4 linked regions of the Arabidopsis thaliana genome follow. The protein of the gene in region 2 interacts with the protein of the main gene of each other region in a pairwise test. Each region holds a gene or a part of one and is shown on either strand. Other genes may lie near its edges.

Region 1 (5,333 bases), on a different chromosome or scaffold from region 2:
CTTCGAACGTTGCACAGCTCTTTTGTGTCTCTGATTACCTCGAGATGACGGAAGAGTACTCCAAAGATAACTTGGCTTCAAGAACAGAGGAGTATCTTGAGAGCATCGTATGCAAGAATCTTGAGATGTGTGTTCAAGTCTTGAAACAATCCGAGATTCTTCTCCCTCTTGCAGATGAACTGAATATCATAGGTAGATGTATCGATGCCATTGCCTCGAAGGCTTGCGCTGAGCAGATCGCTTCAAGCTTTTCGAGGTTGGAGTATAGTAGCTCAGGGAGGCTTCATATGAGCAGACAAGTGAAAAGCAGTGGTGATGGAGGAGATTGGTGGATCGAAGATCTTTCGGTTCTGAGGATTGATTTGTATCAGAGAGTTATGAATGCAATGAAGTGTCGTGGTGTACGTCCAGAAAGTATAGGAGCTTCTTTGGTTAGTTACGCTGAGAGAGAGCTAACAAAGAGATCTGAACATGAACAAACCATTGTTGAGACAATTGTTACGCTTTTGCCAGTCGAAAACCTCGTGGTTCCGATCAGTTTCCTATTCGGGTTACTGAGAAGAGCAGTGATTCTTGATACTTCAGTTTCCTGCAGGCTTGATCTTGAGAGGAGGTTAGGTTCTCAGCTCGATATGGCGACTCTTGACGATCTCTTGATCCCGTCTTTTCGTCATGCAGGAGACACTTTGTTCGACATTGACACGGTTCACAGAATCTTAGTGAATTTCTCACAGCAAGGAGGAGATGATAGTGAGGATGAAGAGTCTGTGTTTGAATGCGATAGTCCACATTCGCCTTCACAAACCGCCATGTTTAAAGTTGCAAAGCTTGTAGACAGTTATCTTGCTGAGATAGCTCCCGATGCTAACCTTGACCTTTCTAAGTTCTTGCTTATCGCAGAAGCCTTACCGCCTCATGCTCGCACCCTTCACGATGGTTTATACCGCGCCATTGATCTCTATCTTAAGGTATGTTGCTACAAGAAAATTTTACTTACTCTTGTTGTGACTTGATACTTATTAGGTTTTATGCTCTTAGGCACATCAAGGGTTATCAGATTCAGACAAGAAGAAACTATCAAAACTTATTGACTTCCAGAAACTCTCACAAGAAGCTGGAGCACACGCTGCACAAAACGAGCGGCTTCCTCTGCAATCCATAGTTCAAGTTCTCTACTTTGAGCAACTCAAGCTTCGAAGCTCCTTGTGCTCTTCTTACTCAGACGAAGAGCCAAAGCCAAAGCAGCAACAACAGCAGTCATGGAGAATCAATAGCGGAGCTCTCAGTGCAACAATGTCCCCCAAAGACAACTATGCGTCTCTGAGGAGAGAAAACCGAGAACTGAAGCTCGAGTTAGCTAGGTTGAGAATGAGACTCAACGACCTAGAGAAAGAACATATATGTATGAAGAGAGATATGCAGAGGTCTCATTCGCGCAAATTCATGAGCAGTTTCTCAAAGAAAATGGGGAAACTTAGCTTCTTTGGGCATAGCTCTTCAAGAGGATCAAGCTCTCCATCAAAGCAGTCTTTCAGAACAGATTCAAAGGTACTGATGGAGAGAACTTGCGCAAGCACAGATTAGCTCAGTGTTTATCATTTTCTCTTACCTGTTGCTGCTTTTTAAGTGAGACTTGAGACTGGTGTGTGAGTGATATTGTAAATGGATTTGATTGATATAAGACAACAAAGGTAGATGGCTTAAAAATCAAAGGTCTATCAGTTGATTGGAATAGAGAATATAATGATGTCTTACAAGACAAACAGAGGTAGAGACAGAGTTTAACCACGTCGTACACAAGCAATTCACTTAGGCCACAATTCAATCTTTCAAGAAGAAGGAGCCTTGGTCTTAGTGTAGTACCGAATGCCGAAAGCCAAGCCTAAGATTAGAAGTGGAACAAGGAACTGAAGGAGCTTAATAACAAAATCCGAGCTCTTATCCTGAGTAGCCACGGCTTTCGTCGACGTAGGAGGCACAAACTTAGCTTTAACCGGCACAGTAGCTGTGTCAATATCACCCACATAGTACTCATCTAGCATGGCTTTCGCAGTCGAACTATGTCCCACATCCTCGAAATCATCGGTCGCATCTTTCCCTGAATACCAACAACACATTCTTGTTAACATAAACATGAACTAACAAACAGAGAAAGTGATCTCTATATGTTACCTGTAGAAGTCAAGATAACCTCATCACCACCAGGATGATCATCCAAGAACTTTGTCACATCATAAACCTATATATAACCATCAAAATGAAACACACAAAAAATGTAAACTTTGTCATATAAGTCCCTAATTCCACACAATCAGAGACCTAGATTAAGTGGGTTATCAAAAGTTCATACATCAGAACATACATGAACTACATGAACCTTACTAGCTTTAACTACAGATACAAGATCACACAGAGACATCTTAAGCAGCACCAACTATCACATTCAATTATAAAGACGTAAGTTTTTAGCAATTTCTCTGTGATTTAGACTTAGAAAAGTAACATTAATCTAGCAAATCAGATCAGATCTATCCCCAAACTTGTTACTACATAACTCTAGATTTATAAATCCAAGTCAACACAACTCAAGAATTTCGGATCTCACGAAGATAAGATGCAAAATCTAAGGGAAAACGGAAAATCGAATGAGAAACTGGGATCGGAGATGTAGGACCTTGCCGTCGATGACGATCCAACAATCCTTGGCGCTACTGTGCTGAGAAACCTCGGACAAGGTGAAAACTTTTCCGTCTCCGCCCATCTCCGATGATCTGCTGGTGACTGGTGAGAGTTGAGAAGAGGAAGAGTATTACTATTATTTGGGAATCTGTGAGTTTGGGATCTTACACCAACCGCTTTTTTGGTCTACTTAAGTTGTGTATGTCTGATCTCATCTATTGATGGGGTCGGAAATTAATCAGTGGCCAATAATCAGCAGTTAATCAAAGATTCCGTTTTCTTATATTATTTAAATGAATTTATTTTATATATTTAATTAATGTAGAAACTAAAACAATTTATAATGTTACAAAGAAAAAATGTTATAAAAAATCTTAGTATTGTATGTTTTTCCTTAAAATAAAATAAATGTTTTTAGTAATTCATGTTAGCTGATAATGTTTCTACTAAAATCATGTTAGCTTATTGATTTCCATGATGCTTATAATGTTTATACTAAAATCATGTTAGCTTTATGTACATCAATTTAGATAAAATCCAAACGTTTGGTGGTTTCGCCCTCTTAGACGTATGATCAATCGTGTAGACGGCTAGATGTTAGGGTAGACCATTCTAATTGGGCCCAACCATTCACTCGGTCCACAAGATCCGGATCTTTTCTTCAGTTGTCGATAGTATTTAGTTTTTTCATGAACTATAGCAATATGGACACGATGATTCATGGGAGGAAAGATATGGGGTTGTCTTCTTTAAAACTTGATGGCGCTTAAGATAAAAACAGTCAAAGAGACTTGTCGGAAGGCCAGTGTAACGAAAGCAGTGTGGTTTTAGTTATAGGCTAAATTGAATATGAATAATTGATCATAGGCCCAGTTTGTTGGTTTATGATTTTAGAAAGAATTGATAAGAGAAGGAGAATGTTTTGAGGTTGGAACTCTCCGACAGATAAATATGATGGGAAGAATTATTCACGGTCGTATATTTTGACAAGGGACCAACGGAAAGGAGAGCAGTTGCATGCATCACTCGTCTTTACACTATTTAGAAAGAAAATGAATCTTGTTTAGTGATTCATTTTAAAAAGTTTTTCTATGTGAACCTCATTCGCTAGAAGTAGTTTAAATGTATTTGCCTTAATCCGATCTTAGAACTGGATATTTGATATTTCTGTAATCAGTTCGAATGTATCTAACTATAGGGCTAAAACACCGACTGTATAGTTCTTTCGACATATATAGAGTGTGTACTTTGCTTAATGGAACCATAGGCATGTTAAACGAGAGCATTTAATGTTGAAATTCACTTCTTTTTTCAATGCATGTTTTGACTCACATTGCAAGGCCTATGGTTGGTGTTCAACGAGAGAAAGAAACTATACATGACAAGTTAAAGACATTTATTTTGAAGGACTAACCCAAAAGGAGAACGAAAGAGAGCTAGAGAAGAAGAAACAAAAAGACAAAAAGGCTTTCGTAATCAGTGCTCTTCCTTTTTGGCTTTTTACTACCAAATAGTTTAAAAGAGTCAAACAAAACATCGAACAAGCTGAATTCAGATACCCCATTGGTCACACAGTTGATGTAAGCGAATCTATATGTCCCAAAAAACATGATTTTTATAGTCAGTGAGCCCGTGATCAAACAAGCACCCGTGTACATACGTACACCATGTCCATATGTATAAATGTATAATATAATGAATGTATCTGAACGTTTCATGCATTCACTTTTTCACTTTTAGAGATTAAAGAAAAACATAGAACAATGATTGGGTTCGAGATAAGATTTCACAGTTTCATCACACTGGTTTTGCCAATTTCCAAGAAATGTAAAAAAAAAGATAAAACAACAGAGATCTTCTCAATGAACACTGTCTCATCTTTTTGTCAGTTTCTTGTTAATAATAATTTGATATTCAAGATTCAAAACACTCTTATCTCTTTACTAATTAGTACAAAATTCACCTTTGTGTTTGTACTTTTAACTCTGAACTTACATTACAGTATTTCAATGTAAACGTCAAAGTATTTACACACACATTCACGTGCGTCATAATTATGGTAAGAGAAGAAAAGGGACCAATCTTGTATAGTTGAAAGAAAAAGGATATGATTCAGATTTTTACACCTACCAAAATTCACACGTGAACCTCTCAATTGGGTCTCTTTCTTCTGCATCTGAATCATTTTTTTCACTATATGCCAAGCTTAAACATGTTCACACACATCCCTCTCAATCATCATCATTACATATAGCTTTGAATAAACATGAGAGATAGATAGAAAAACAAACACTTGAAAGAAACAGATGAGAAAATTTCACTAAGCATCTGAAGAAGATTAGTAGTACAAATGGTGTGAGGTTTTAAGGTCCCTAAGCTACTCTCAAACTTGTTCTCTAACCACATTATTACTTAAGATTACACGATTTCTGATGTTTGGTTAGTCTGTTAACTCCATCACATTCTCTAACTTCACACCATGTCTTTTGGAGCTGTTTCCTTTTGAACTTCATGGTTTGACTTGCACCCATTCGTAACGTCCGCTGAGGGGGATATCATTCACAATGTCGAAGTTGTACCTGAAGATTATTGAAAACACATGAGTGTTGTTCACCCTCTTCGTAATGACACAAAAATAAAATAAAGAATAAGCT
Region 2 (5,656 bases):
CTATCATGACCGTACCATATACTCAGCTCACTGGTCAAGGTATTGACACCTCACATGTTTTCTTTAAAGCATCGTGTAACTCTGCCTAATTTCTAAATCTGCCAGCCTAAAAGGAAAAACTCTTTGTTGTACCTGATATTTACGCTCCCAGTCATCTGTCGAATGCATCCAAATTGGGATTTTTAATGCTCTTTCGTGAGACTGTGCTGAGTTTAAACTCAGTTTTGTTTTGTTTTCTTTTTATTTTAAATTTTTGACAGGGACGACATTATTGCCAGTGGAGCAGGCGATAATGCTATACGGTTGTTTGTGGACAGCAAACATGACTCTGTAAGTTGAATTTGGTTAATATCTTTCCATATATACACGCCTAACTTACATATCTCAATACAAGAAACCAAATGCAGGCAGCAGATTCTATCTCTCCTAGTCTTGCCAATGGTTTACCACTATACAATTAAACTTTTCTGCTTCATCTTTGAACTTAAAGTCATTCTTTTGTGTACCAGGTTGATGGACCTTCATATAATCTTTTGCTGAAGAAGAATAAAGCACATGAAAATGATGTAAACTCTGTCCAATGGTCACCCGGTGTAAGTTCCATGTTTCTTATGAAGTAATAGACACAAGTGCATACTATTTCGTACTTGATACATGGTTGCAATGATTAAGTATAGTCTATATGGCATCTTATAAATGTGAATTAGAAGTTAGAACATAATACTCAAGCTTAGTTTTAGGATCAGAGAAATGATGCCATTGATTACTCGACTTACATTGGCCCAAGTACATGTGGTTATGTTGTCTATGATTTTGACCTTGGAATTGTAACCTGCTACAGGAGGGGAACCGGTTGCTTGCGTCGGCTAGTGATGATGGGATGGTCAAGATTTGGCAGCTTGCAACTAAACCGTGACTGCTGTTGGTTTGGATAGGTTCTGAAACTCCTGTGTTGTTTTACTTTTTCTGAGGTCTATCTGTAAACAACATAACATTTTAGGTAGAAGAGAACTCTATACTATTTTGTCATACAAGATTAGCTCCATGATGTTTCATACGATTTCTGTTTTACTTTTACTACGATCACTTAAGTTTTAACACTGTTGGTACAACTTTGTGGAATTTAATAAACAACTTTTTGACGAAACAAAAAATACATAGCTGATATCGTACAACTTTGGAGAAACTTCTTTTTTCCATATAAATAGCAAATTTAGATGCAACTCATATGGTTGCTGCTTGTGCTTGTAAGATCTTACAATATTTTTTCTTTTTGTTAATACCTAACAATACATTTATTTGGATATTGTATGTTTTTTTCTTAAGGGCCTCCGAATATGTATATTTTTTTCCTTTACTATGACACATCACCTCTAAATAATCTACGGATTAGGAAAAAGAGAACAATTTTTTAAGATTAACATAATTTTGGAGTTGAAAGCTAGATGGTGCCGAAAGGAAAAGAGAACAATTCTTAAGATTAACATAATTTTGGTGATACATCATATTTATATTTCTCTCATACTGCTTCAAGTAATTATGTTCTTAAAACAGTAAGTAGCAATTATGAACCAGGCAAAGAGTAGTAGCGAGAACGAAGAGAGACCGATGAGGAATGGCCAGCCGACAAGCACCACCCCCAAAGACGTGACCACAGCACATGGCAGAAACGAGCGGACTACTGATGAACCATTGATCCATTTCCCTTTGATCATAAGTAAAATAGCAACATTCACCATATTCCACTCCATTGAGCCACCATAGCAAAGACGGTTCAAACAGTTTGCAACAAACGAATGGCAGTTACAAGTGAAGATGTTGTAGGTTTTATGCTCAAAGCTACGTGTGCTCGAGCTCAGTGCATTATCCCATGTACGCGCTGTTCCAAAGTCGGTGTGTTTGAATCCATACTTGCAAGTATGTCCACCCATATTTGGTGGTAAGCAACACTGCCACAAACACACACATTTGATAAAGATTAAAAAGTTCTTATAATTTGATACAAAACTAACAAAGTCCATGCATAACCAGATTCTACTTAATAAAGAAGCAGATACTAATACCTTGGTTCTATCGAGTTGGAGATAGCGAGCAGGAGGACCAAATGCAAAATCATCAACATTGATGAAGTTAGATCCAGCAAAGTCCAAAATGACTCCATCTTCTCTGCAAAGTCCAATATGACCAATGAAAGGAGCCAACCAAGAGACAACAGGAAGAGGAGTCCAAACTATACAGCAAGGAAATTTCGACTTCTTGGTATCAATCTCAGGTAGTGGCCACAGATCAGCCTCATCAGCTTCGATTATTGATGGTATAGACACGGACACCACCCTGTCTTCAACATCATAACTTCGTTTCAGGTCCATCATAGGAACTCCTCTTCCACGTGACATTTTTAGATTCCTAATCACACAAGACAAGAGCAGTCTGATCATTATAGTCCAAACAAAGAGCGACCCATTTACTAAAAGAATCGAAAGTTAAAATCTTTTGATCAAAATGAAGCAAAAGTTTCAATCTTTTTAACAAAGCATGTCCGTATATTCATTCTCACAGCACTAATTGTGTAGTAATCTCCTAACTTGAGCCTAATTCAGATTTTCAGCATTGTGGGTTTCTCTGTAAATTTCACCGGAAACTAAACAAAACCCATCAAAAGCATTTCCGTAGAAAACAGTAAAAATCACAACAAAAAATCATAATGGAAAGCTAAGAAGCAGGGAATAACAGTGGACTGTGTTTTACATTTACCTGTCGGAAACTCCGACGCCGATGTCTGAAGGATCGACGCAGAGAGGAAAAATCGATGAAAGTGATGCGAGAGCTTGGAGAAGGAGAAGAAACTGATGCTTTGTGGAATTTGATGAAGAAAGAGGAGATTTTTATAATTGGTTTTCTAAAGTAACGCTTCTTCTAGTTTTAGGAATTCATTGAAGACAATGGAGAAAGGTACAATGAACCTTTGGTTGTTTATCAATTACTGCACTGTCTTAATTTTATTATTATATACTAAGTTAATTATTTTAAGGAAAAAGGGACGTTTGCTTTATCAAAACTTTGAACAAAAAAAAAAGATCTACGAATTGCAGTTTTACTAGAAAATTTTGAAATATTTGAATATCCTTCTCAATTGCAGTTTTACTATCAGAATCCAGAGCTACGAAATTATAAAATTTGTATTTTCAGTAATAAAAGCTCAAATACTGAAGAGAATCCAATGTTTTTTTTTTGTAACAAAGAAACCGATGTTTATATATTTAGTTTCCGTAAAATTTGGAGTCAATCTATAAAACTCAAATCTCTTGAACGATTATTTCTAATTTGTCGTGTTTGATTACCGTTGTCGTTATTCATTATGGTTGGATAAATGAACACATGGAAACCTCAATCTCTATTATAGGTATAGAGTGACATCGTATTTATGACAATTCGACAATTGTTTATGTTTTTCTGTCGGACGTAACGGTTTTAAGAATCGAGAAAACTTTCTTGATTTAGGGTCCTTGCATCTATCATTCGTGTTTGCCTTTTTGAGACGAATCATGTGCATGCGAGTCAGATGATCTGACAACTGACAAACAGAGAATCCGATGTTTAAATATTTAGTTTCCGCAAAATTTGGAGATGACTTATGAAACTCATAACTCTTGACCGATCAATCTTAATGTGTCTTATTGATTACCGTTGTCGTTATTAATTATGGTTGGATAAATGAACACATGGAAACCCTAATCTCTATTATAGGTATAGAGTGACATCGTATTAATTAATAACAATTCGATAATTGTTTATATATGTCTGTCAGACCTAACGGTTTTGAGAATCTAGAAAACTTTTTTTATTTAGGGTTCTTGCGTCTATCACTAGTGTTTGTCTTTTTGAATCAAGCCACATATGCTTTACAAGGTTGATTTGTTCTTAAGAGAAATGTCAGGTGCTCTAAAATAGTGATAAAGCGTAGGATAGATGAGTTGTTTGCTAGAGAGGTAACCGAACAGGGCTCGATGAGAATATGCTCCTTTAATCACCTTTCGGAAGAAAAAAAAAAACAAGCATTAGTATATAGGATAGGAAAAAATCATTATGAGGTTGGTCCTCTCAAAGATTCAGTGAGAGTCTAGTTAGAATGAATTAATGTGGCTATACAGAAAATCTATTTTCTGTGAGGAAATACAGGTTTTGGTTCAAGGACTTAGGGCATCTCTAATGATGACCTCTATATTTTCCTCTATTTATAGAGGTGACCATTGGAGATGGTTTTAGTATAGGTGATCTAATGTCCAATCTGATATTTAGTAGAATAATGCTACAAGTCTGATTAGTGGCAATTGAAAAAATTAGCAGAAACATAAGAGCATCTCCCATGTCCTACCTTTATTTTTTTTCACTATTTTAGAGTTGATTTTGTTCCAATGTGTGTCTCTAAAATAGAAAAGATTAGCATTGGTTAGAACTGCTTTTTGTTTTTTTTTGGCCAAAATGTAGAAAAGTGAAATTAAATTTTAACTCTACCAAGTTCCTAGTTTTCTTTGGAAAGGAAGTTCAAGTTGGTATTAAGCTTTTTTTTATAAAAAAAAATCTAACTCTACCCAAAGGAGAGAGAAAAAATAACTACTTCAAAATTTAGATTCCTTTCCTTTAATATTTGGTTGTTTCTTTCACTAAATTTTTTTGTCTCCTTCACTTCCACTTTTTACTCTACATGCAACCATTCAGAACCTATATGTTGTCAGTCAGTTTGTTTATAAAACCTAGAATTATGGTTATTTTGCCAAATTTCCTAATTATAAAATGAAACAATAAATATCCTAAGAATTCAAACTTTTTTCAAAGAGATCATATGGCATAAATATAACCACGATGGTGATCACATCATCCAAATGGAATGTTATACGTATAAGAAAGTGGAACATAAAGAAATGTATTTTATTAAATAAATGAGGGAAGAACTTAGGACTACGTATGTACATTGTACAGGAAGTGAAAGTGAAAGTGATGATGAGGCTGGGAAGAGAAGTAAAAGCCAGTAAAGATACGTTTCTGGATCCGGTATGAGTCCGAATCGCCCCATTGTGGGTTTTGGTGCGAGTGCGAATCGCTTCATAGTGGCTTCATTTAAGCAGACACTGCAGCTGCAGCCTGTTCTTCGTTCGCCGGTTGGAGAGTGCACACCAGATTACGGTCTCCATACACGTTGTCCACTCGCCCTGTTTCACACATATTTAATACATTTTGAAACGATTTACAAATAACAAATTGTTTTCTATGGGAAATGCCACCCCTAGTTTTCAAGTACCTGTAGTGGGCCAGAACTTGGAGGAGCGGAGCCATGGAGCGGGGAAGGCTGCGTATTCCCGTGAATACGGCTTTTTCCATGTATCTGCCATTAGCAATGACGGAGGATGTGGAGCACCCTGTGTGTGTTTGTTTTTTAAAGTTCATTAGTATCAGACTAGAGGGCTAGTCCGAACTGAAATTGTGGTCTCAAATTTTTTCTTACCTTCAGAACGTTGTTGTTTGGATCTGCGTTTCCTTTCTCAATCTGTGAAATCTCTTCCCTGATCGAGATGAGAGCATCACAGAACCTATCTAACTCAGCCTGAAATATTACATATATATATACAAATTATGAAGCCATGTTTTAGAGACTGAG
Region 3 (7,367 bases), on a different chromosome or scaffold from region 2:
ACTTTGTTAAGATTTCATTTGCGCGATTCACGTTCTCAATCTTACTTACACTCTTAACCATCTCATTGAAAGCCGAACAACTAGGCATAAGCCCTCTCGTTACCATTACCTCACAATACTCCAAACCTTTCTCTTCCCACCCGAACCTCGCGAAACCACCGATAAGACAATTAAACGTCTCGTCATACGGACTGACTCCAGACTCCTCCATCTCACTCAACAACCTCTCCGCTTCTTTAACATCACCCTTTTCACAACAAACTCTAACAAACACCGTATAAACAAACGAATTCGCACTAAAACCTCGTTGAAGCATTTCATCAAACACCTTCCGTGCAGACACCAAATCACCTTCCTTAGCTTTCGCATAAACAACAATCGAATAACCAATAGTATCAACAACCATATTCTTCATCAACAATCTCTTCAACAAACTCATACTCTCCTCTATTCTCATCTCTTCCAAAACCCTAAACACTAAACTCGTATTCACAATCACTGAAGGTAAACATCTCTTACCACAAATCCTATCTAACAAATCAACAACTTCTTTCAATCTCCCTTCTTTACACAACACTTGAATCATTATCCGAATCGTAATCTCGTTCGGATAAATCCTTTTATCAATCGCACATTCGTAAATCCTCCACACAAGATCATCAATCTTCGATTTCGAAGAGTAATGAATCAACGTGTTTAAAGTAATCACACTAAGAGTAAATCCACAATCACACAATCTCTTGAACACATCAAACCCTAATTCCAAATACCTAATCTTAGCGTAACATTGAACTAACAAATCAAACACTAAAGGAGTAGAAGATGAGATCTCATAAGTATCTAACAACGAATCGACTAAATCCGAATCGGGAGGAGAATTTAACAGAGACGATTCAATTAAAGCTCGAGCGTCGATTAGTAATCGAGCTTTGACAAGGATATGAATCGTCAATGCGTAAGATTTGATTCCGTGACGGAGATTTCGAGTGTGGGATGACCAATGGAAGAAGGATAAAGCTTGTTTGGCGGTTTCGGGGTTTTTGAATCGGAGAAGGATTGTTTCGATTAAGGAATCTGATAGATCTATGGAGGAGAATTTGGTGGAGAGAGTTTCCCAGGTATCGTTGGATTGGAGGGATTTGGAGATGTAGTCGATGAGGATTTGTTGTTGTTTGTTTGGATTTGGATTAGTTTTGGAGGAGAAGGAGAAGAAGCCATGGATGAGTTTTGGAGATCGGGTTGATTGAGAAACTAAGTAACGCCATTGTTGTTGTTCTACTAAGCGGCGCAAAGCTGACGCCATAATACTGCATCAATGTCATACATGCACGCAACAAGCATCCATAACTCGATCCAAATTCTTATAAGAATGTAACTACATATATAAGGATACAACATTAGTCAAACATGTAATCTGAAATGGTATGATTATACCACCACCATCTTGTTCCTCTATAACCGAAATCGCCACGGACACATACCGGTTTAGAGTTTCTATTTTGTTATTCCCTTTCTGTTTTAAGATATCATCCAAAACGCTCCGACAATCTCTGATATGTACACAATTAAACCAGAGAACATCAGCTTCCGATGTTTTACGGGAGAAGAAGGCGGGAGCGGAATTACTCCTCTGGGGCATGGGGCATCCATCGCCTTTACATGCCCTCGTACAGTACCCGGGGCTCGAGAAGATCAGACAGAACATCTCTTATGTTGTCTAGTGATACGGGTTTGAGCAACACACCGTCTAGACCAAAGCTCATGCATTTCTCTTTTGTGGATTTGTCAGTGTTACCACTGAGTGCCACAAGTAGTGGCCGTTGGTGGCGTTGTTTTGTGAATTTCTCGTGAATACGGAGAGCGATTTGGTAGTTTTCGACCCCGGGCATGCACACGTCCATGAAGACCACTTTGTGCTCATGGGACACAACTCGGAGACACTCCTCGTTTGAACTCACCGTGGTCACTTCGCACCCAAGGTGTACAAGAAGTCCCTTCGTCACCATTCTACTTACCCTGCAACCAAAATAATCATCGGTTTCTCATAAGATTAAATTTGCGTTTTTTCTAAACGCCAATATCTGCATTTGCAAGAAGTAAGGCGAGAGATTTTGCAAAGAGAAAGGTGAGAAGCTTATACTAACCCGTTCTCATCCATGACAAGAACCTTAAGTCCAGTGAAATTTGAATGTCGGGGAATGGCTGGAACTTTCGGTATGCCCGACTGTTTAGATTCGTTTGAACGTTCTGAGATCCCAAGTTTAACATCAAAGATAGCCGTGCATCCTTTTCCAAGACCATCGCTCTCAATCCAAATGTTACCCTCCATCAGATTCACAAACCTTGTCATATTAAACGCTTATGAGTAAACTTTTAACAACACAGAAGACAAGAAAAAGTTGGAAAAAAACGTCTTTTAATAAGGCTCAAACCTCTTGGAGATGGCGAGGCCAAGCCCACTACCACCCGAGCTTCTCGTCGCTAAAGATTGTGTTTGAGCAAATTTAGTGAAAATCTTTGGAATGTCTTGAGGATTTATTCCTGCTCCAGAGTCTTTTACCTATATTTGAATAATCATCAAAATTAAGACCTAAGAAATACTTTCAGCTATGGTATAAGATCCCAAGATACAAGATAATAACCTTCACTCTCAAGTAGAAATGACTCCCAGTTGGCACGACAAAAAAGTCAGCAGCTCGTGTGTCTGACTTGGTGACAAGAGCGGTTACGGAGATACTACCTTGTTTGGAGAATTTCACAGCATTACCAACTATATTTAATATTATCTGCATTAGCCGTTTCTCATCCCCAACAACAAATTCTGGCAAATCTGGTGCAAGATTTAGTGTGATGGGTAATTTCTTAACAACCGCTATAGGCTTTATCAGATTGAGGACCTGCAACAAGATTCAATATGACAATCAAGTACACAAATAGTATAAACTTATGAAACATAGAGCTGTTCAAAAGTTACCTCTCTAAATAATGTATGAAGATTGAATGTCCCAAGTTCAAGTTGAAGACTTCCATCTTCTAACCTTGAAAGATCTAAGACATCATTCATCAAAGTTGCCAAAAGGTTACTACTTTTAAGTATTGTTTCCACCATCAGTCTTTGTTCAGGGGTTAGTTCCGTTTCTTGGAGTAAGGAAGAGAGTGCAATAATCGCATGCATCGGTGTTCGCATTTCATGGTTCATAACCGCTAGGAAATCATTGCGGGCACGGATTGCTGTTTCTGCTTCTCGTCTAGCTAGATCAAGAGCAACATTCTGCTCCATGAGAAGGTCCCTAGCTCGCATCGACTCTTCTAGGATCGCAGCATGTGAGAGAGCTACAGCCACCTATAATAAGAGAAGAAAAGTTATAGACAAGATCATGAACATAGCAAAGAAGAGAAATTCTCAGCAATGTAAAACCTGATCAGCGACGACTTCAACGAGTTCCAACTCATGGACATGCCATTGCCTTGCACTATCTGAAGGAAGCATCAAAACCATCAAAGCATATCTCTTTGTTGAAAGCTCAGGCCAGTCATTAATCTGAAAATTAGAAAGGTGGAGAAGCGGAACCCTCACAGCGACCACCTCCCCTAGCATATATTTCCCAGAAACAGGTCTCAACCTAGCCACAGGAGAATTAGGAGATATTTTTACAGCCCTACTAGTACCAAACACTTGGTTAATCACCGGTAATTGAATAGGAACCGTATACTCCACGGGATGTTGATGACGAAGTGTATAAGAAAGCTGTAGCTCTAACCCAGTTCTAGTAGGCATCCACAATGCACACTCCTCCAAAGCTAATGTCCTACCAAGCTCAACAAGTGTAGTCTTTAAAATAGTATGTCTATCTAAAGTGCTTCTAATCTCATGAGTCAACATTCTCACATGCCTTCCGGTTTCTTCCTGAGTTCGAATCAATCCCATTTCTCTATCGAGCTCAGCAGCTTTATTTTTCAAGAAAAGCTCCCGAGTCTTAACACTCAAAAGATCAGGAATAATATGAACAAGCATCAACGCAGTAGCACACGAGACAACAGCGGTTAACACCTTCGCGGTAGTCATCACAAGCGCCACGGTTCTCGAATGCGTAGTGAAAGTCCATAAGTTAATAAGATGAGTTGCTCCACAAAGAACGATAAAAGCACCAAACTGAACAAGTACCCATCTATACGGAAACACGGCTGATTTCTTCACAAAGTAAATCAACTCAAGAGGAATCGAAAAATACGCAATCGCAATGAAGAAATCGGAGATGTATTGGTATTTCATTAACAATTCATCCGCTGGCCATTGCGGTTCAATACAATTGCAGACTTCCATTATGAATTTTTTACACTATAGTTCCTCTCTCACACATACACACACCTGTGTAACAAACACATAGCATTATCAACTTCGATTTACGACGAGAACGTAGCGTAGACAGATCATGAGCATCAAAATTGCTATAAATTCTGAAGAATCGAATTCGATCACAACGATTACGAAAAAATAGGTTGCATATTTCAGTCTCGAGAACAGTAAAATTCGAATCCGAATCATGAAATTAACGATTAAATCTTAATTTAAAGTTCCTAATAACGATGCATTACACTAGATAAAGACCAATTAGGTTAATCAATCTCTATGATTTGAGATCGACGACAACAACAGAAGAAAACTGTGGAAGTGAAGAATATATATAAAGAAGTCACGAAACAATCTGAGGAGAGAATCGAGGAAGAAGAAGCTTACTTGGGAAGAATTGATCGGAGAAGAGGAGGAATTGGGGATTTGGGACGCGGCGGAGAGCGACGGAGAAGGAGAAAAGGGGAGCGTTGAAGCTTTTTTTCAAGTCAAAATTGGTTGGGTTTAACACTTCTTCTTCGTTCTTACTTTTTTTTTCGACGTCATTTCTCTAATTTTTTTGTTATTATTATCAGATGTTTTTTTTTAATAAAAAAGGGTAATATAGCTGGTGGGTGCATGAATTTGTTCATTCAAATATCTTATGATAGTGTAATGACGTAATGTAGATAAAGGAATAGAGTAAAAATGGTAAGAAAAATACAGATAATATAGGATAAATATCCCCATATTTATCAACAAATACTATCTTTATGGTTTCACCAAAAAATGCAAAATATTGTTTTCACTAACTTTCACCTTACATTGATTCGTATGATTTCAAAAAAGGAGAATGATAATGTCATTTGGAGATTAAGCAATATATATGTTTAGCCAATATAAAATTATGAGTTTTAAGTGTAATCTTATGTAAATAATCGTTTGTATAAAACATTATATAGTTGTAAGAGAAGTAAAACAAGTTGAATCAAACAAATATGTTCATGTGAATAAAAGCTATATTATGTCAACTTGGAGATATATCAAACTACTAATGTTATATCTGGTTAACTGTAATATATCTCCAAATTGACATAATATAGGTTTTCAGTACCTCAAAACTAAATCAGAGTTAACCAGAAATTTGATCCTAAACCAAAAGTATATTAAGCAATTATATAAAATTATTACATTAGTTTTTTTTGAAATCAATCCTCCGAAAAATGTACATAAGACCTTAACCAGTCAAATCAAAATCCAAACAAAACTAAATTTCATCGATTCAATTCTCAACCAACGTTTATGTCTCATATATACTAGTGTTGATTACTTCAAACTTACAATATGGAATCTTAATATATACCTTCAAGATGATGGCTCTAATCAGCCTATCTCGAACTGAATCTCATTTTAAGATCAGTATTAAATCTCAACACACGAAATTTTGATACATACAGTAAAACCTCTATAAATTAATACTCGATAAATTAATAATCTCTATAAATTAATAAATTTTTTCGGTCCCGAGTTGGAACCACTGTAAAAAGTGATACAAATCGATAAATTAATAAGATAATAGTTTTTTTGAAAATCTTATATAAACATAGGGTCCCATTAATATCATAAATTACAGAGAAATATAATTTTAATATTGTTTTTTTTTTACTTAAATTTGTATAAGTTTTTTTTTATTTCATTTTAATATTTTTACTCTATCAAAAACTTTTCTTGTTGTTTTCTAGACATGATAATTATTTCTATTTGTAATTGGTTCTAAAAATATATTTTAGATAATGGAATGAATCTTAAATTTTTATAGAAATTAAAAAAAAAATTACCACTTTTGGAAAATCTCTCTGTAAATTAATAAATATTAATTTATCGATAAATTAATACCTTTATAAATTAATAGAATTTTGTGGTCTCAACATTATTAATTTATAGAGATTTTACTGTATTAAATTTTATGGATTTCCAAATTAAATCTAATTAATAATAAATAGATTGGTGTATATTCTTTATATATAAGTGTTGGTCCTTCAATTTAAAATAAGAATAAAAATCGCAATACCAAAATATATGGATTGAACCAAATTGATATTAAGGGAAAGAGTGGGGCCAATACTATAATGACCAGAGAATCGAAATAGAAAGAAAACTTAGGACATGGTTGGCTCACACTGGTCCACAAGTAACTCTTGTGGTTACAATTTTCACTTCTAATCCCATAATTCTCCTTCTTTGTCCTCTTCTTTCTCCCTAAAATCCTAAATCCTTCTTTGGATTACTCTTCTTCTTCATTTCTTCCCACAAGGTTAGTCTCTCTTCTCTATCGAATCTGTGTTCTTCACTGTTTCATCTCTCCAATTCCCAATTTTTCCTTGATGGGCTTTGTCTTAAAAATCAATACTTTGAGTTTGATTCAAGTGGGTAATCTCTACATTTAAGCAAAATTGTATCTTTATGTCGTTCTAAAATCGAGAATTTTATAAATTTGATGCCTTGATAAGTTTATCTGAATCAATTTTGATATTTAGGTTTATCTCAATGGCTCTTAACGTGAGCAAGGTTGTTCCCAATAGTCCAATTTTAGTTAAGAGTGTTAATGCTTCAAGATCTCGAAGAGTTCTGTTGGCGTATGTTCATCATCCTTTAGCTGCTAATAAGGGTTCATCTATTGAAGAGTTAAAGCAAGGTCTTTGTTGTACAAAGACTGTCACTTTTGTTAGTTCTCGGAGATGTTCTACATTGTGCTTTGTTGGAAAGTCTCAAGACACTGAAACTAAGTAAGCCCTTTTAGTTGTTAGCCTTTACAGATCAAACTGGTCTGGTTTTGTTTCATGCTTAGTTATAAGTTTCTTGTGTGATGTGTTGTTAGTTCCCAAGTTGTACAAAAAGAAGGTGAGAAGCAAGTGATGCCGAGGAGGAAAAGTAGTAACTCAAGCCAACTTTTGGTGGAATATGTGTCTAATGATGCTAAGTTTGTGAATGAAAGAGCTCGTAATGACTTTGTTCTTCTATCTCGGTAATTTTCCGC
Region 4 (5,009 bases), on a different chromosome or scaffold from region 2:
ATGTTTGTATTTAGATGCTGATAGATAATTTCATTGTTGGGATCTTTGAATTGTAGGAAGGAGTATGAGAAACTACAGAGACGATGTCAGATGCTTCTCAAGTGCGGTAATGGAAGTACCGATAATCTTGAGGAGCTTCCATCTGATGAGGCAAACAGTCAATGTGTTCGGTTCGTGGATGATTATAAGATTACAGGACCAATGACAAGTCAAGATGTTGTTTCTGCTTTGAACACTGATTCTTCTGATACAGACTCTTGTGAAGATAATGAAGATGTTTTACTACTCTCATCTTTTGCACACAGCGATGAAAAAAAGCCGGAGGAGGATAATAGTAATAACAATTCTGAAGAGAATAGTTCTCTTCTTGTAGCTGCTGCTTCTGAGGTCCAAGTAGAAGTTGCGGTACACGAAGATTTCTCTACGTGGCAACGTATCATCCGGCTTGATGCTTTACGAGCGGATTCTGAATGGGCAAATTATTCTCCATATTCAACAGCAATCACAGAAAGCAAAGCTCGCAGGTTAGCCGAATCTGTCGGGTTAAAAGACTATGATCACTTAGAAAGCTGCAGGCTATACCACGCAGCACGGTTAGTTGCAATTCTTGAAGCTTATGCTATGTATGATCCTGAGATAGGCTACTGTCAAGGAATGAGTGATCTGTTATCTCCAATCCTCGCTGTGATCTCAGAGGATCACGAGGCTTTCTGGTGCTTTGTTGGTTTCATGAAGAAAGCTCGGCACAATTTCAGGCTTGACGAAGCAGGGATTCAAAGACAGCTAAGCATTGTATCAAAGATCATAAAAAATAAAGACTCTCAGCTTTATAAACACTTGGAGAATCTTCAAGCAGAAGATTGTAGTTTCGTTTACAGGATGGTGCTTGTTATGTTTAGGAGGGAGTTGAGTTTTGAACAGACGCTGTGTCTCTGGGAAGTGATGTGGGCTGATCAAGCTGCCATTAGAGCTGGAGTTGGGAAGTCGCCATGGAGCAGAATCCGGCAACAAGCACCGCCAACGGATGATTTGTTGCTCTATGCAATCGCGGCGTTAGTACTACGTAGGAAACTGATCATACAGAAATACAGTAGTATGGATGAGATTGTGGAAGAGTGTAATAGCATGGCTGGTCAGCTTAATGTCTGGAAGCTTCTTGATGATGCCCATCATCTTGTCGTGACGCTTCACGACAAGATTGAAACTCTTTCTCAATCACAGAGTATTTGATGAAGAAGTCGATCAAAGCCAGAAATGAAGTGTTTCCACTACACAAAAGCCCTTGCACTCGTCTGGCTGCGTTTTCTCAAGGTTTAAAGTTTGTTGCGGTTTGGTTCTTACCGTTTTCACTCCTCTCTTTCTTTCTTCTTTCTTTTTGTTTACTCATCACACAGAGAAAACACAATACTACTATCCTTATCGCTTTTATTGTAGTACTAATGAAAAAGACAAGGCAATATTCTTGTTAAAATGTAACGGATGAGTCTGAAACTGTCATTTCCACAATTGTATGAAACATATTTGTTCAATTGTAGAAATCCAGTTTCTCACTTCTTTATCAAGCAGCTTAAGTTTGGGCAAATCAAGCAGTCTTTTATTATATCATCAAAGTCGAAAACACTGTCATCATAAACTCAACACAGTAAAACTAGTAGCAACACAATGATTTTTGGTTCGTAATTTCAACAAGAATCAGTCTAAGACCAAACAACAGTAACAGTACTTTTTTTCGCAAGAGAGATAGACAGAGATCGGTAGAGATATTCAATGACAAGCATCAAAGCAAGCCTTTGGCTTCTTCTAGTCTTTCTTGGTATAGTGACGGACGACAAGAGCCAATCCCAAGATCAAGATCGGAACAAGGAACTGAAGAATCTTGATAATGAATTCTGGTGTCTTGTCTTGGTTGTAGGCTGGTTGCTGTGGTGCAACGTATGTCCTAGTTGCTGGAACACTAGACGAATCAATCTCACCAATGAAATATTTGTCCATCATGTCCCTTGCAGTGTCGCTGTGACCAACGTCTTCAAAATCATTTGTAGCATCTTTCCCTGCAAACAAAACACCACATCAGAACAGAAACAGTCACCGAGCCGCTTCAAATCCGCCTTGAATCAGAGAGAAACACAAGTTTTATACCTGTTGAGGACAACAAGACTTCATCGCCTCCAGGATGATCATCCATGAATGGAGTCACATCATACACCTAAAGAACGCAACAATCACAGATCATAACCAAGTAGTAGACACAAACTCTGTTTCTCTAGTGTGAATTAACATAGAATCAACTAAATCTACGAGGGGCTCGATTAAAGCTTCTAACAGTAACAATCCAACTCTACAACTTTAAAATCGAAGCTTTGACACAAATCAATGGCGGAAGAGAACTAAGTTCGTCAAAAAACAGAGATGTTCTCAAACAAAGAGACAAGATCTAACCTTGCCGGAAATAATAAGCCAACAATCCTTAGTTTTGTTGTGCTTTGAAACTTCTTCAAAACTTAGAACCTTCCGATCTGAAGACATCTTCACTCAAACTGCAAAACAAGAACACATCAAAGCTACTAATCAAAATTTCTGATAATACAGAGTACTAGATACAGATTCAAATCGAAATCATCAGAACGATGATGAATGAACGAATATACTAATTCCCTTATCGATTTTTGGAAAAAGATGGGATCTTTACCCTTTCAGATTCAGAATTTTCGATAGCTCCGAAGCTCAGAAATCAGCAGAAGACGGAAGAAATAGAGGTTCCTCACCTACTTAATTGTGTTCAATATAAACAAAATACGAAACTACCCTCGATATTTTGCTTAGGGTTTGGATGAGCAGGGGTAGTTTTGGTCAAGTTGGGCTTTGACTTTAAACAAATCAAATTGGGCTTTGTGCAAATCAAATTAAAATTTGGTTTCCATTTTTGACGAGATTTTATTTTGGTCCACGTTTGGTACTTTGAAAAATACAAATATGACGTGTGCTGAATTGACAAAAAAAAAAACAGACACATAAAGTGTGATCTAACAACGTTTAGCAGATTTCAAAGAAAGAAATAAATCTTAAAATAGAAGAATCTTGCCTTTTGTCAGTAAAAACATATACCAATTTAACCGTATTTTTATCACTATTTTGGCAAATATCTTCTGGAATTTAATTCCATTTGACCTTATTCTAAAATATTGAGTTTCTTTTTGGGGAGAAGTTACTTGGGACATGGATTTTTAAATAGAATTGAGAGACTAGTTTATTACTTTATTGTGTATACAAACTTACAAAGTACAATTCCTATATAAACTGTTTTTTTTGTTTCCACAATTCTTTAGCTAATTTTTTTGTCGCTACACAAAAAAGTAAAAACTCGTAAAAAGCTATCTTTAACTCGAATATTTACTCGGCATGAAGCCCATACATATAGGAGGTCTAACGCCGGCCAAAGCAAGAACCGACGACGGCAAAATCCATAGACCATCTCCACATATCAAACCGGAAGCAACCGCCGGTACCATTAAACCGGCTTTAACTCGATCTCTCATATTCCAAGCAAACACAATCAAACTTCCCACACACATATCAATAGCAAAGTACCCTCCAACAAGAAACGGAACCGCCATTGCCATCGGTAATGGAACCCAATTCCCTATCTTATCCGGTAACCTATCCCTAACGAGATTTGCCGCCACCGCGAATGCGAAAAACCCGTAACAAAGCTGTAAACAATGTTGAGGCAAAGCAGAGAAACCTTCAACTCCAAGAATTGCCATGTTTCTGTATACCAAAGCGTAAGGAGCTTTGTACTCTCCCTCCTGGTTCCCGACATCGAAAGCTTTATAAAACAAGAAGAAAGTTAGAGGCGCCACAACGCATCCGATCGCTGTACCGATCGCTTGACTCACAAGCATCGACCTAGGTGAAGTCAGAGTCAAATGTCCTGTCTTGAAATCGTGCATTAGGTCAGAAGAAATCGATACAATCGATTTTATCAACCCGCATCCGACAAGTCCCGCGACTACACCATTTTGTTTCCCTGCCATAGCGGCTAAGATAAACAGAGCGACTTTACCATAGTTATAAGCCATGTTCATATCTGTTAGCCCTGCTCCATAAGCGTTACTGAAACCTAACGATGGAGCTAACATGTAAGCTACGACTATGAAGTACCATTTCAGCTCGGGGAACATTATAGGGATCGCGATGATCGAGACAACAGAGAACGCTGCGTATCCTACTGCTGCAACCCATAATGGAATGCTGTCTCTTACAAAGATCTCATCTCTTTTAAGATCTGCAATAGATTGCTTATCTTTCTCCGAATCTGCGATTTACGTTTGAACATCAGATAATACATTATTGAAATGACGATTTTTCTATAGTTTTTTTGGTGTATACTTACTAGATTTCCCAGAGTTGCGATTGTTTAACTTGACGTACATGTTTATTCCTGTCTTAAAAAGTATCTTGATGAATTGGTAAAGCCCGTCTCCGAGGATCAATGAGATTGATATAAACACCTAAAGAGTTATGAACAAATTAAGAACGAAAGTACGCGAAAGAAAGGGCGGAGTTTATTGTAGAGTACTAGTGTTTTTTGTATGGAACCTTGTAACCATTGAGACTCTTCATGCTGTTTTCAGGAAGAGTTGATGGGAACCAATCTCCTTTAAGACCTTTAATGAGTGGCCACATGATTCCCCAAGACAGAACCGCGCCAAAAAGCAAAGATATATTGACAATATGGGGACAGATCATTCCTGCTCCAACGTATGTCATGCTAAAGTCGAAGTAGAATCTGTCAAGTTTTTTCAAGATCATCAAGATTCTGTTTCTATCTGTTGATATATAAACAGTCAATAGAACTAAGAATAATACTCACGTGTTCTTCAAAGCTTCTAACCCGAAAGTTGGAAACTGAATGAAACCGCACTCTGTACCACCAGAGAAGAACCATTGGAAGAAAGCCCAAATGAAGCTAAATGAGAAGTACTTCACAAACCCAAACACTTGTTTCC

Evidence for each region.
Region 1: the proteins of RTE1 (region 2) and CB5-D interact in a two-hybrid assay, tested with the Arabidopsis thaliana proteins (one study listed by BioGRID).
Region 3: the proteins of RTE1 (region 2) and ETR1 interact in binary tests that used the Arabidopsis thaliana proteins (3 or more experiments, as listed by UniProt).
Region 4: the proteins of RTE1 (region 2) and CB5-E interact in a two-hybrid assay, tested with the Arabidopsis thaliana proteins (one study listed by BioGRID).

What each region holds. Positions count from the first base shown.
Region 1 is NC_003076.8:19,787,420-19,792,752, forward strand, and holds CB5-D (cytochrome B5), read right to left. Parts: upstream 2,954-5,333; 5' UTR 2,762-2,953; coding exon 2,675-2,761; exon of another isoform or gene 2,240-2,674; coding exon 2,173-2,239; intron 2,099-2,172; coding exon 1,830-2,098; 3' UTR 1,648-1,829; downstream 1-1,647. Other genes in the region: AT5G48800 (Phototropic-responsive NPH3 family protein), read left to right, coding at 1-968, 1,039-1,584; ICK6 (inhibitor/interactor with cyclin-dependent kinase), read right to left, coding at 5,189-5,258. UniProt on the Arabidopsis thaliana protein: Membrane bound hemoprotein which function as an electron carrier for several membrane bound oxygenases, including fatty acid desaturases.
Region 2 is NC_003071.7:11,104,212-11,109,867, forward strand, and holds RTE1 (protein REVERSION-TO-ETHYLENE SENSITIVITY-like protein (DUF778)), read right to left. Parts: upstream 2,978-5,656; 5' UTR 2,755-2,977; intron 2,407-2,754; 5' UTR 2,397-2,406; coding exon 1,530-2,396; 3' UTR 1,394-1,529; downstream 1-1,393. Other genes in the region: emb1345 (Transducin/WD40 repeat-like superfamily protein), read left to right, coding at 1-39, 261-330, 510-593, 842-916; GLDP2 (glycine decarboxylase P-protein 2), read right to left, coding at 5,119-5,210, 5,300-5,417, 5,504-5,602. UniProt on the Arabidopsis thaliana protein: Acts at an early step in the ethylene signaling pathway. Positively regulates ETR1, leading to the negative regulation of ethylene responses.
Region 3 is NC_003070.9:24,731,655-24,739,021, reverse strand, and holds ETR1 (Signal transduction histidine kinase, hybrid-type, ethylene sensor), read right to left. Parts: upstream 4,861-7,367; 5' UTR 4,739-4,860; intron 4,370-4,738; 5' UTR 4,325-4,369; coding exon 3,419-4,324; intron 3,344-3,418; coding exon 2,975-3,343; intron 2,898-2,974; coding exon 2,643-2,897; intron 2,561-2,642; coding exon 2,433-2,560; intron 2,343-2,432; coding exon 2,145-2,342; intron 2,017-2,144; coding exon 1,656-2,016; 3' UTR 1,304-1,655; downstream 1-1,303. Other genes in the region: AT1G66345 (Pentatricopeptide repeat (PPR) superfamily protein), read right to left, coding at 1-1,303; AT1G66330 (senescence-associated family protein), read left to right, coding at 6,878-7,116, 7,209-7,355. UniProt on the Arabidopsis thaliana protein: Ethylene receptor related to bacterial two-component regulators. Acts as a redundant negative regulator of ethylene signaling.
Region 4 is NC_003076.8:21,757,145-21,762,153, reverse strand, and holds CB5-E (cytochrome B5), read right to left. Parts: upstream 2,826-5,009; 5' UTR 2,690-2,825; intron 2,538-2,689; 5' UTR 2,527-2,537; coding exon 2,440-2,526; intron 2,207-2,439; coding exon 2,140-2,206; intron 2,052-2,139; coding exon 1,801-2,051; 3' UTR 1,576-1,800; downstream 1-1,575. Other genes in the region: AT5G53570 (Ypt/Rab-GAP domain of gyp1p superfamily protein), read left to right, coding at 57-1,230; YSL3 (YELLOW STRIPE like 3), read right to left, coding at 3,378-4,315, 4,394-4,511, 4,600-4,789, 4,874-5,008. UniProt on the Arabidopsis thaliana protein: Membrane bound hemoprotein which function as an electron carrier for several membrane bound oxygenases, including fatty acid desaturases.